Linked DNA regions of Oryctolagus cuniculus. The protein of the gene in region 1 interacts with the protein of each later gene in a pairwise test. Links are inferred from orthologs where the notes say so. Each region holds a gene or a part of one and is shown on either strand. Other genes may lie near its edges.

Evidence for each region.
Region 2: the proteins of BHLHE40 (region 1) and AANAT interact in binary tests that used the Homo sapiens proteins (3 or more experiments, as listed by UniProt). The two-hybrid records come from large-scale screens. The link is inferred for Oryctolagus cuniculus from reciprocal best matches to the Homo sapiens genes BHLHE40 and AANAT.
Region 3: the proteins of BHLHE40 (region 1) and COX5B interact in binary tests that used the Homo sapiens proteins (3 or more experiments, as listed by UniProt). The two-hybrid records come from large-scale screens. The link is inferred for Oryctolagus cuniculus from reciprocal best matches to the Homo sapiens genes BHLHE40 and COX5B.

Annotation. Positions count from the first base shown.
Region 1 is NC_091441.1:120,811,760-120,815,500, forward strand, and holds the start of BHLHE40 (class E basic helix-loop-helix protein 40), read right to left. Parts: upstream 2,631-3,741; 5' UTR 2,396-2,630; coding exon 2,316-2,395; intron 2,194-2,315; coding exon 2,124-2,193; intron 1,916-2,123; exon of another isoform or gene 1,895-1,915; coding exon 1,787-1,894; intron 905-1,786; coding exon 781-904; intron 1-780. UniProt on the Homo sapiens protein: Transcriptional repressor involved in the regulation of the circadian rhythm by negatively regulating the activity of the clock genes and clock-controlled genes.
Region 2 is NC_091448.1:4,303,695-4,307,435, reverse strand, and holds the start of AANAT (serotonin N-acetyltransferase), read left to right. Parts: upstream 1-1,273; 5' UTR 1,274-1,314; coding exon 1,315-1,420; intron 1,421-1,802; exon of another isoform or gene 1,803-1,864; intron 1,865-2,298; coding exon 2,299-2,526; intron 2,527-2,777; coding exon 2,778-2,932; intron 2,933-3,194; coding exon 3,195-3,500; 3' UTR 3,501-3,741. UniProt on the Homo sapiens protein: Controls the night/day rhythm of melatonin production in the pineal gland. Catalyzes the N-acetylation of serotonin into N-acetylserotonin, the penultimate step in the synthesis of melatonin.
Region 3 is NC_091433.1:110,723,338-110,727,052, forward strand, and holds COX5B (cytochrome c oxidase subunit 5B, mitochondrial), read right to left. Parts: upstream 2,471-3,715; 5' UTR 2,340-2,470; coding exon 2,237-2,339; intron 1,674-2,236; coding exon 1,600-1,673; intron 1,416-1,599; coding exon 1,316-1,415; intron 770-1,315; coding exon 657-769; 3' UTR 571-656; downstream 1-570. UniProt on the Homo sapiens protein: Component of the cytochrome c oxidase, the last enzyme in the mitochondrial electron transport chain which drives oxidative phosphorylation.

The DNA.
Region 1 (3,741 bases):
ATGCAGACCAGAGTTACGACAGGAAGCAAAGAACGAAGGCGCACCGTCTCCTACAGGAAGCTGACACCCAACGCAAGCAGCACGCACGTAAACTCAGACTTGGCTCTGAGTCTCCCCATGTATTTTATTCATGCTCCCCCAGGAAGCAGGTGCGTCACTTTTGCATTTGAAGAGATTATAGCCCCTACTGGGTCTGGGGGATTCTTATGATCCCAGCCTCGGAAAGCAAGGCACAGAAGTGCGCCATGAGGGAGTGGGCCCAGGCGGCGTCCCCAGGCCACAGGGTTTGGAAGCAGTCAGACTGGAAGGTTGGAAGGTGACGGATTCTCTGGAAGTCAGTACAAACGAATGATGAAACTGCAGCGGTTTCGTTAGATTGTGCAATATCCCACGATACCTGGTGGCTATTCAAGGAACCACATGAAGCACAAGAAAAACTTCTGCTGTGGCCTGGCCAGGATCACGCCAGGAGGGGGAAGCCAGCAAACAGGCAAACACGGAGGGCATCCCCGTGATCTACTCCCCAGTGAGGGAGACGACGGCGAAACACCCGCCATGCAAATTCTAGGTGTCCTGGCATTTGCAAAGGCACTGGGGGAAATCTCCCGGAACTGGCTCTGAAGCCAAAATGTCACAGAAACATCTTATCACTCGACTGATCCACATGCACGCCGGGCAGCACCCAGCGAGAAGCCTGACCTTTGAGGACAGGGAAGGGGCACACGCAGTTTGCCGCGGGCGTGGGTCCTGCACCCCAGGCTGAGCCCCGGGGGCACTCACCGGCCTGTAGCCCGCTCTGCAGGGCCATGATCTGCTGCTGCTGCTGGTCGATCAGGCTGGTCAGTGCCTTCACGTGCTTCAGGGTCAGCTCCAGCACCACCGCCTTCTCCAAGTGGCCCAAAGTCTGAAATTAAGAGAGGGGTCGGCGGTGAGGGCGCGAAGTCCCCACTCTGGGACATTTACGAGCAGTGGGAAATGTCTCTGAAGGAAGTGAAAGAAAAAAAAAACCTTTCCTCGTTGGCTAAATTTAGTTTTATGGCCGTAGATCGAGGCTTCACAAAGACATCTATCAGTCCACTCACAGCCCCACCATCGGAGCAAAGATCCCACAGCAGAGGCATTCTGGAAGTGGCAGCTACCCGGGACACATTCCCCCAGCAGCCGCAGCTGACCTTAGCGCGGGGGGACCGGCGGATAGCATTTCCCTGCAGCGGTGTCGCCCGGGCAGGGACTCCTGCACCTGGCAGCCAGGACACTTTCGGAGGCTTTTTCCTGACACCCTAGAACCATCCAAGCTTTTCCCTCCCTCCTTTTCCCAACCGAAGGCTGTCGGGCCAGAAGGCTGTTGGCTACGGTCCAGCCGGGACAGGATGGAGAAATCACACAAGTCCCTTTATTTTTAAAAAAAGGCAAAGAAAGGAAAGAAAGTTTAAAGAAAAACAATTTTTTTTGCATGTTGTCCCGTTGCTCCTTTTAGGCAGGAAATATGGAGAACCTTGCAAGTACGCAGCAGGCCGTCTTCAACTTTATAAAAAGTAAGGCCGGCTGGTGTTGGGGGCCCACGTGGGTGGAGAGCTCCGGGAGGGTCTCCCTTCCTCTGCGAGGAGCTGCCAGAAAATCCCAGGGACAGAGCAAGGCGCCCCCCCTCCGCCCGCTCGGAGTCCCCCGGCCAGCTCGGAGTGGGCCTGCGGGCCGCAGTTCCTCGCGGGGCCTGCAGGCGGCGAGTGACCCCCGCCCGCGCCGGGGCAGCGGAGCGCGGCTGGAGAGGCGCCAGCTTCTCGCTTACTGTAAGTTTGAGATGTTCGGGCAGCAGGTCCTTGAGCTGCGCGATGCACTCGTTAATCCGGTCACGTCTCTTTTTCTCGATGAGCCGGTGCGGCAGTTTGTAGGTCTCCTGCGAGGCGCACGGGGGGCGGTGAGTGCGGGGGGCCGGGGTGCGCAGCCCCCCCTGCTCGCCGCTCGGGGACGAGTCGGCGGGCCAGCAGCGCCTCGCCCGGGACCGCCTTCTACCCCGAGCTTCCCACGCCGCTCTGCGGCCGCCCCGCGCCCACCCCTCGCCAGCCCCACAGCCAGAAAACTTTCCCTGGGGAGCCGGGACGCGGGGTCCCCGCGGAGGCGCTCACCTTGCTGTCCTCTCCGCGCTTGATTCCCCGCCTGGACTTGTACACTTGGTACATGTGGGCGAAATCCATCCTGCAGGGAGAGGGACCGGGGTGCGGGGCGGGGGTCGTGACTCGGCCTGAGCGCGGGCTGCCGTTCCACGCTGAACGCGGTGCGGGACGCGCCGCGGCCCGGGGAGGGGAGCGCCTGCTTACCCCGCGAGGTCTCCGTGCTCCAGCCCCGGCGCCTTCGGCAGGCAGGCAGGGGGCGGCTGCGCGCTGGGGATCCGCTCCATGGCGCGGCGAGCCGGGGCCACTGCGCGCTGCTGTCCGGGTGAGGACCGTCCCGGGAGGGGCGAGGGGCGAGGGGCGAGGGGGTCTCTCCGCGGGGCTCCTCCGAGACTGCGCTGCGCTGCTGGGGGCCGCGGCTCGGAGGTGCTGCTTCAGTTGGGGGCGTGCATGGCCGGGGTCTCCGCCGCCGGCTCCGGCTCCGCGCGCTCCCGGTGCGGTCTGCGCCGCGCGAGCCGAGTGAATGAGACGCGGGGCGGGCGGGGAGGCGGCAGGCGGCGGGGGGGCGAGCGCGGAGTAATGGAGAGGCCGCGGGCTGGGTTAAATGGGAGCGAGTGGGTGGGTTGGAGCTACGTGTTCTACCCTGTGACTCCAGGCACGTCTGGCCGCTGCCGGGGAGGGAAGGAGCGCCCTGCCCGCCCTCCCCCGCCGTCGTCACATGAGTCTCACGTGTCGGACAGCGCTCGGCGGCCGCGAGGGAGCCCCCTCCCCCCGGCCCGGCCCTGGCCCCCAGGTGTCCGCGGCTGCGGCCGGCCTTCCGCGAAGAGGGGGCGGCGGCGCGGCCGGGTCGTGCCCGGCCGGGTGGGGGGCGCGCAGGCTAGGAGCGGGGGGAGGGGTTGGCAACGTGGGCGAACCTGCCCCAGGGAAATGAAGTAAGTTCCCGTCTCCTGGGAGGGGACGGGGGAGGGCGGATCCGCCCGCGTCTGACTCAAGCCGGGAGAGGAATATCCCCTCGCTCGCAGCAGCCCGGCCGTCTTCCTCCTCCCCCGCCTGGCCCGCGGCGAGCAGCCGGCGCGCAGCGGCGGGGAGTCGCCCGGCCCCCGGCCCGGGGTTTCTTTCCGTCCCGCGTCCCTGCCCCCACCGCTCGGCGCTGCGTCCAGGAATTGCCCGCCTTGGGGAGGAACCGAGGGCGGGGCGGATGTCACCCCATGGGAAGCTGGCGAGCGGCCAGGCGCGGGGGCAGCCGAGGCCGCCGCCGAGCACGCCGCGCGCACCTGACCCGCGAGGGTGTGAGCCGCGCGCCCCTGGCTGCCCGGGAGCCCCGCTCGGGGCCACGGCCCGCGGGCGCGCACCCCCTGCCTCCGGGGGCCCGCGCCCTGCTGGCCGAGCGCGGAAGGGCCCCCGGCGCGGTGCCCGCCTGCCCTCCCTCCGCGCGCCCCGGTCGCCTCCCTGCCGGCTGTGGCGTTATACAACCGCGGCGGCGGCGGCCCTGGCGCTTCACGTGGCTCAGCGACGACCGCGCCCTGCGCTGGGTCGGGGACCGGGCCGGGACGCGGCGTCCGGGCGCCAGGAGCCTCGCGCAGCCCCCCGGCCCTCGCCGGGAGGTCCCAGCGGCCACTTGGGGAACGCGGCT
Region 2 (3,741 bases), on another chromosome or scaffold:
GGCTGGAGAGGTGGGGACAACCCCAGGAGTGGGTGGGCAGCCTTGGGGATGCTGGAAGAGCAACCCCCTGAATATTTAAGTAAGCTCCAAGGAGACGACCTGTGCAGACAAGTGGACACATGGCCAGCCTGGCGCACGCCCCCAACCTCCCCCACCATAAGCATTCCAGGTCAGCGAAGCGTTCTGTGCCCCCTACAGCCTGATCCTGAGCGTGACTAGAACCCAGGCCCCAGCTGCTCCAGGTGTGTGCCCTGTGGCTCGGCCTTCCGGTCCCCTTGGCTGTGCATTCCAGGGGCCCTTGAGCCATGGGTGGGCGTTCAGGTTGCTTCCTGCTCTTTGAGGTTCTGTCGGGTCCATGGAGCAGTGGGATTGTGGGGAGCTGTGGGATTCTGGGGCGCAGTTATCCTCAGCTTTAGCAGTCACTGCCCAGGTTTTGCAAACTGGCCGCTGCCCCGTTGGGACCTTGGGGGCAAGGCGGGATGGGGAATGGGGCGGGAACACGGGTGGCGCAGGAACTTCTCAGCTGAGTTGGTTTTTGCGGTAGGTAGACCAGATGGTGCAGAGCAGGGTGGGTGGGGACTGAGCTCCGCTTCCGGATGTGGGAATTTTCCCACGTGCTCTGGGCAGAGGTGCGCGTGGGGTGCCGGAAGGCGTGTGGGCAGTGGCTGTCCAACCGCGACCCTTGCAGCGGCTCCCGGCTCCCGGCTGTCCGCACAGCAAGGCCGCTACCGCGCCCCCACCAGTGCCCTGTGGCCCTGCCAGATTTGGGGGTTTCTTCCCCAGGCTGAGGGGCTGCTTCTGCACGATGCCCTTCACTCCTGGAGAGCCTGACTCGGGGACGCCACCCGCGGACCTGCAGGAGCGCCGGCCGTGAAGACGTGAAGACATGAAGACATGAAGACGTGAAGACGGCCGGCCTGGGTCCGCCTCTCCCGCTCAACCGGGAGGCTCAGACAGGCTGTTTGGTCTGGGTCTCAGTTCCCTTCCCTACACGGAGGGGCTGACACCCACCTGGAGGGGCCGTCACGCGGGAGGTGAGTGCTATGCCTGGGCTAGACCCCCCCAGGCCCGTGGCTGAGTTGCTGGTGCCCAGCCAATAGGTGACAGAGCCGGGATTACAGCCAGATCCCCGAGGCTTAGCCCCGTGCTGTCTCTTCCCAAGCTCGGGGGCCTCGGTCGGCCACGCGTAATCCCATCTGCCTCCTTGCGCCGGCACTGACGTTGGCTGCCCAGCTCTGCTGGCATCGCCCTGCCTGGTGGCTCGGGAGGCGGGGCGGGGGGCGGGGGGATTCAAGTCTCAGAGAACAACATCACATGCTTCCCCGGGTGACACCTGCTGCGGGAGTCTCCCAGGCGGCAGGGCTGGATTTTCCCGGCTCCTGCACCCGAGCACGGGCCCCCAGCTCTGCGGAGGGAGGAGGTAGGGGCCCCCTCCCCCCAGTCTTGGATAGTGTGACCCCTCCAACCCGTGGCTCTCGGGCTTCGGGAAGGAGAGCTTCTAGACCATGGGGAATTGTGGGAGCCGTGGGCTTTTTCCGTCTGAAGTGGCCTTAAGAACTGTGCACCTGCAGGCTGCCCTGGGAGAGGCCCCCGGGGTGGGTCTGCAGTCTGATGAGCAGGGGTAGGGGAGCGGCAGGTGTTCTGTGTGCCCTCCGTGACTGCTCCTGCCTACGTCCCCCGCTCTCTGTAGCCTGACTCCCTCCCACTGCCCTCCCACCTCCGCCCCAGCCCAGTCCTGTGTGTGGGCAGGGGCCCACTCTGTGGCTGGGTAAGAGGAGAGACTTGGGGTCACTTTTCTGTAGGACTGAGGCTGCCTAGAAAGCTCCATCTTGCGCCTGAGGCACTGAGGTCTCCCTCTGGCCAGGTAAGACCCCACGGACGGCGCACGGGGGCCGGGGCACTGGCCTGCCCTGCAGTCGCATCAGAAGTGGTCCATGGAGGCTCAGGGGCCCTCCCTCCCCTCCCACCCTGGGCAGCAGCGCTGGGGGCCCCAGACTCCGCTGAAGCCTGCTCATCGCTCCCCCTCTCCCTTGGGGCTCAGGTGCACCCAGAGGGCAGTGGGACCAGAGCCTGGAGGTTTGCGGGGGCCACCCCACACATGCATCCCTCTGGGCTGTGAGCAAAGATGGGGAGAGAGCCCGGGCCAGGCATCGCTTAGAGGCTTCCCCGGGGACCAGGCTTCTGGGAAGGACCCATCGCTCTGGGGGCTGACCCCACCCCAGTTCTGGCTACAAGAGGCCAGATTCACTGCTTCTCTGGAGATGAGAACTGGACCCACGGCCATTGCCATTCTGACAGGTGCTGGGGGCCCTCCTGGGCCGGAGGTCACTGCCAAGGCCTGGTCACCCCAGGGAGGCAGCAGGATGTCCACGCTCAGCACCCAGCCCCTGAAACCCAAGGCCCTGCACCCACCACCGGGGTCCCCGGAGTCCCCAGGCCACCAGCGGCGCCACACGCTGCCCGCCAGTGAGTTCCGCTGCCTCACCCCAGAGGATGCGGCCGGCGTGTTTGAGATTGAGCGAGAAGGTGAGCAGCTCTGGGAGGGGCCCCTTCTGTCCCTGGGAGAAGACCCTTGGGTGTCCTGTCCTGAAGGCCAGGTCCCAAGGGTCAGACCACGTGTGTGCATTCAAGAAAGTCGGGGGGCAGCAGCCCTGTTCCCATGCTTCCCTGGAGAGGGAGGGGTGCGGTTTCTGGGTGGACCCTCAGCGGGCAGTGCATGGTGGGTGGGCGGCACATTGACCCCCTCCTCCACGCCTACCCCGTGCCTCCGGCCACAGCCTTCATGTCCGTCTCGGGCAGCTGCCCCCTGTACTTGGACGAGATCCGGCACTTCCTCACCCTGTGTCCAGAGCTGTCCCTGGGCTGGTTCCAGGAGGGCCGCCTGGTGGCCTTCATCATCGGCTCACTTTGGGACAAGGAGAGGCTCACCCAGGTAAGGGTGGGCGTGGCTGCAGCTCCGGAAGAAATAAGCCCTGGGCTGCGATTTTCTTGCCCCAAGAGCGGGGAGCTGAGTTGCTGGGTCCCTCCCAGGCTCCTAGGCTTCACCCAGGGGGCTGGGATGTGGCTCCCAAGTCGGGGTCCTCCTTGTGTGCAGAGGGGCCCCCAGTGGAGGCACTTGGAGTCACCTGCTCTTGGCCTGGGCTGCATGGCTTGGGGGAAGCAGGTGCCAGAGGAGCTGCCTGGCTCACCCGCAGGAGTCGCTGACGCTGCACAGGCCCGGGGGCCGCGTGGCCCACCTGCACGTGCTGGCCGTGCACCGCGCCTGCCGGCAGCAGGGCAAGGGCTCCGTCCTGCTGTGGCGCTACCTGCAGCACCTGGGCGGCCAGCGGGCCGTGCGCCGGGCGGTGCTCATGTGTGAGGACGCCCTGGTGCCCTTCTACGAGAGGCTCGGCTTCCGCGCCGTGGGCCCGTGCGCTGTCACCGTGGGCTCCCTCGCCTTCACTGAGCTCCAGTGCTCCGTGCGGGGCCACGCCTGCCTGCGCAGGAAGAGCGGTTGCTAAGGGGGCTGCCCGCCTGGCCCCCGGGCCCCTCCTCTGCCCCAGCTGAGTGTGGCCGGAGGGGTTCCCGCCTGCCCCGTGCTCACAGCCGGGTGCCCTGTCCTCTGTGCCTGAGGCCAGGCTGGATCCCAGGTGCCCAGTCCTTTCCTGTCCACTCTCGCTCACGCCCACACTCGCTGCCCTTAGTCCTGGACGCAGGGTGCAGGGTCGGCGGTGGCAGCCCTGGGCGCCTCTTCCCCAGCCC
Region 3 (3,715 bases), on another chromosome or scaffold:
AGATGTAACCAATCCTCAAAGGCGTGTCCAGAGTGACAGTCAACGGTGGAGCCTGATTCCACAGCCTGTCTTTTCCCCTGCACTAGGTGCTCCCAAGCACTGCATTCCGGGTTGTTAATCTACTTAATCTAAGCAGTGCACACTGGTTGTAGACTGTGAGTAGCAAGCTGGTATTAACAGAGAGCTATTCCCAATGTAAGAATCACCCACCCAAAAATATATGGGGGCCAGCACTGTGGCATAGCAGGTAAAGCCGCTGCCTGCAGTGCCAGCATCCCATATGGGCACCGGTTCAACTCCTGGCTGCTCCACTTCCGATCCAGCTCTCTGCTGTGGCCTGGGAAAGCAGTGGAAGATGGCCCAAGTCCTTGGGGTTTCCCACATGGGAGACCTGGAAGAAGCTCCTGGCTTCGGATCAGCACAGCTCTGGCCGCTGCAGACATCTGGGGAGTGAACCAGCGGATTGAAGACCTCTCTCTGCCTCTCTTTAACTCTGCCTTTCAAAGAAAAATAATAAATCTTACAAAAAAAAAAAAAGGAAAAGAAAACAAAGAAGTAAAGCCAGTCACCTACGGGAGGAGGAGCCAATACAATGGCTAATCTTTATTGGGAAGAAGAAACCTCACAGCACATTCTGATTAAGTTAGCGCAGGGGCTCAGTGGGCCAACTGGTGAGGCACCAGCTTATAATGGGTTCCACAGTTAGGGCATCGCTGGGTCTCGCCTTTGTGCAGCCAGAACCAGATGACAGCACTGTTGTCCTCTTCACCTGAAAGGACAAAAGGAGTTTGAAAGTCATCCGGTCTAAGAAGAGAGACTTTCAACATTGACCTTTTTTACCCAGACACCTCGGAGACAGAAATAAAACTGTGGCTGACATCTGAGGACATCAGTTCAAACTCTCCTCCCTACTCTCCAGATGAAGAACTGAGGCCCTGCATCTACCTGCACATATACCGACCTTACAGCAAGGTCACTGTAAGTTCTAGCAATACCCTTGCCTACACAGACTTCCAAACGGGGTCCACTCTGGTGTGCATCCCTGGGGCCTAAAACATTGCCCAAGATTTGTGAATGAAAATTCCATCTTCATCATGCACTTCCAGCCAGCCAGTCTTGCTGCTTGTTCCACACCTCTTTCCAGTAAGGATGACCTACTGCGTGAGAGCCAGGACTCTGGGAACAACTTAGTTATACACACATCCTCTTTACATTCATAGAGTTGCACACACACACACGAGATGTGAAGCAGCTTATAGCCGTCCCAAACAGAATATACTACTTAAATAGTTAAGAAAACGTGTCAGGGACTTACAGATGCAGCCCACTATTCGCTTGTTGGTGATGGAAGGGACTAAATTAGGGTCCTCCTTGGTGCCTGAAGCTGCCTTTGGGGGTAGCATATTGTATGGGTCCTGGAAAAAAAAAAAAAAAAGAATTACTCCACTATGCCATAAGACTTCTACCCTCCCGGAGCTGAGGCCTGCTCCCACAAGCCAGGCTGCCTGGATCAAATGCACGGAGAGGACTGGCGACTCCCCCGATTCCATCCCAGACCCATGAGCACCACAGAAGACACAGAAGGGAGCCCCTCCTCACCAGTCCCTTCCGCGCGGCCATCATGACCTCCCTCTCCAGCCCGGTGGCCTGTTCCTCATCGGTCGGGACACCACCTAAAGGAAGACACGTGCATTATGTCCTTTAGCGACCCAGACAGGAAAAGGCACGCTGCAAATGATCAAGACGGAAAACGCCACACACGAGCTCCTGTCTATGTTTTACTGGGCTCACGGGCTCCTAAAGGCTGCAGATACCCAGGATCCTCTAGGGACGAGCCCCAAAAGACCAGCACCAGCGGAAGCTTTGCTCTCTCCACACCTCCAACCACCAAAACCGATTTTTCGACATTTTTCTAAAAGCTGGTCAACCAGAGTCCACTCGGCTCAGAGTGGGCGCGGGTTTGAAGGGCAGCCCGGTCCCGCTCCATCCCGTTTGCAATCCCTGCCCTCCAAGGTCATCCGGCACCTCTGCTGAGGAGTCTTACTCTGCGGGGTCAGCTCGGTGGGCGGCAGTAGCGGAAGCCCGAAATGACAGGGCGACGCCCGCAGAGCTTGATGCACTCGGGGCCGAGAGGTGGCCACTGGGGCCCAGAGGGGCTGCAGAGCCCGACCCGCTTTCCTGCCCCAGCCCCAACCACCCCGGGAGAGCAACGACACCGGTCCCTTGCGCCGCGTACCTCCAGAAGCCATGGAGCGCACGGCAGCCGCTCCATTGGGTCCGCGGGCCCTCAGGGCCTGAGCAGCCAGCGCTCCAGCTCCGCGAAGTAACCTTGAAGCCATCACGCCCGCGACAAACAGCGCCACTTCCGGGAACAAGCTCTAGAGATGGGCGGGACTTCCGGGGGCGGGCTTCTTTCTCCTCCTGGTTAGTCTTCCGCTTCCTACCAGCTCCCGAGTCCACGTGACGGTTTCGTGGGGGAGATTGCGCATGCCCAGCACTGCAAAGACGCGGGTTCGGGCCCCGTCAATGGCGGGTCTTTAGGTTTGGTTTTTGGTAACCCTGGGGTTTGGACAATTCAGTGACCCAGCCGAATGGGAGTTGCTGTGCGTCTTACCTGATGGTTGGGTCACTGAGGAGGCTGCGGACGGAAGTCTTTAAGTCAGCGTCTGTCAGGAGACTTGCGTTAGTACCAATTACTTATACAGGTGTACTATGTAGGGTAATGAGCCCCCTGGTGATGAGCAGGAGGCTAGAGCCAGAGGTGGCCGCTCCCAGGACCAAGGCCCTTTGATGATATGAGGTGAGGGAGTGACCCTTCCGCGGGTTATTAACTAAGGAAAAGATGAGGGGAGGAGAGGAGCAGGAAGGGGAAGTGATAATGGGAAGTGGAGTCGCAGAACGCACTGTGTGGCCAGAGTTCTGTTTAAAACCGACAACATCCTCCAATAACTCCCCGTTTACCTTCAGGCTTAGGGTGGGCATGGAGAGCCTTGGGAAACGCTTTCCTCCTTGTCGACTCCTCGCCGCTTGGTTCGCATCAAGTGTTAGCAAGTCTGCGGTTCCCTACCAGATGGAAAATCCCTTCAGAGTGGAAATGATACCGCATCATCGTGGAGTTACGTATCTTGCAGAGGCCTGGCATATATAGCATTTTTAGTACTTGGACGGAGGATACAGGATCGGTTTATAGGGCAATTTGAGGCAGGTTGGAGAGTGGAGGTCCCATACGGGTTATGATACTCAAAAGGACCTCCTCCTTCAGGGGAGCTCATGTGGTCTTCCTGGGTGCCCTTTCCACCAAGGGGAGAAAAATGGTCTCTATCCTGAGACCAGACTTGACTTGATCCTCTTCAAAGGTGGGTTTTGCTTTGAGTGTTGCCCCCTTCTTCCTACATCCACTGCAACTCCTCTAGATTACACAGAAGGGAAGTTATTTAAAACCAAGGAATGGTCCCCAAGGATCTATCGTTGATTTGTACCTGTGGTTTGGTGTTTGGTGAGAAAAAAAATCATTGGTCTGGAAAACAGCTGGCCCTACCAGGCAGCTCAGTCCGATTTTGTTTTGTTTTGTTTTCTCTTTTTGGCCACCTTGTCCTAATCAGTGAAACGATAATCAGATGAGGATACTGTTTTCCGAAGTACTCTATGGAATCCAAGGCTCAAGATGTGCGGTCAGAAAAAAGGAATTGGCCAAGATAGGACAGTCCTGCTTGTG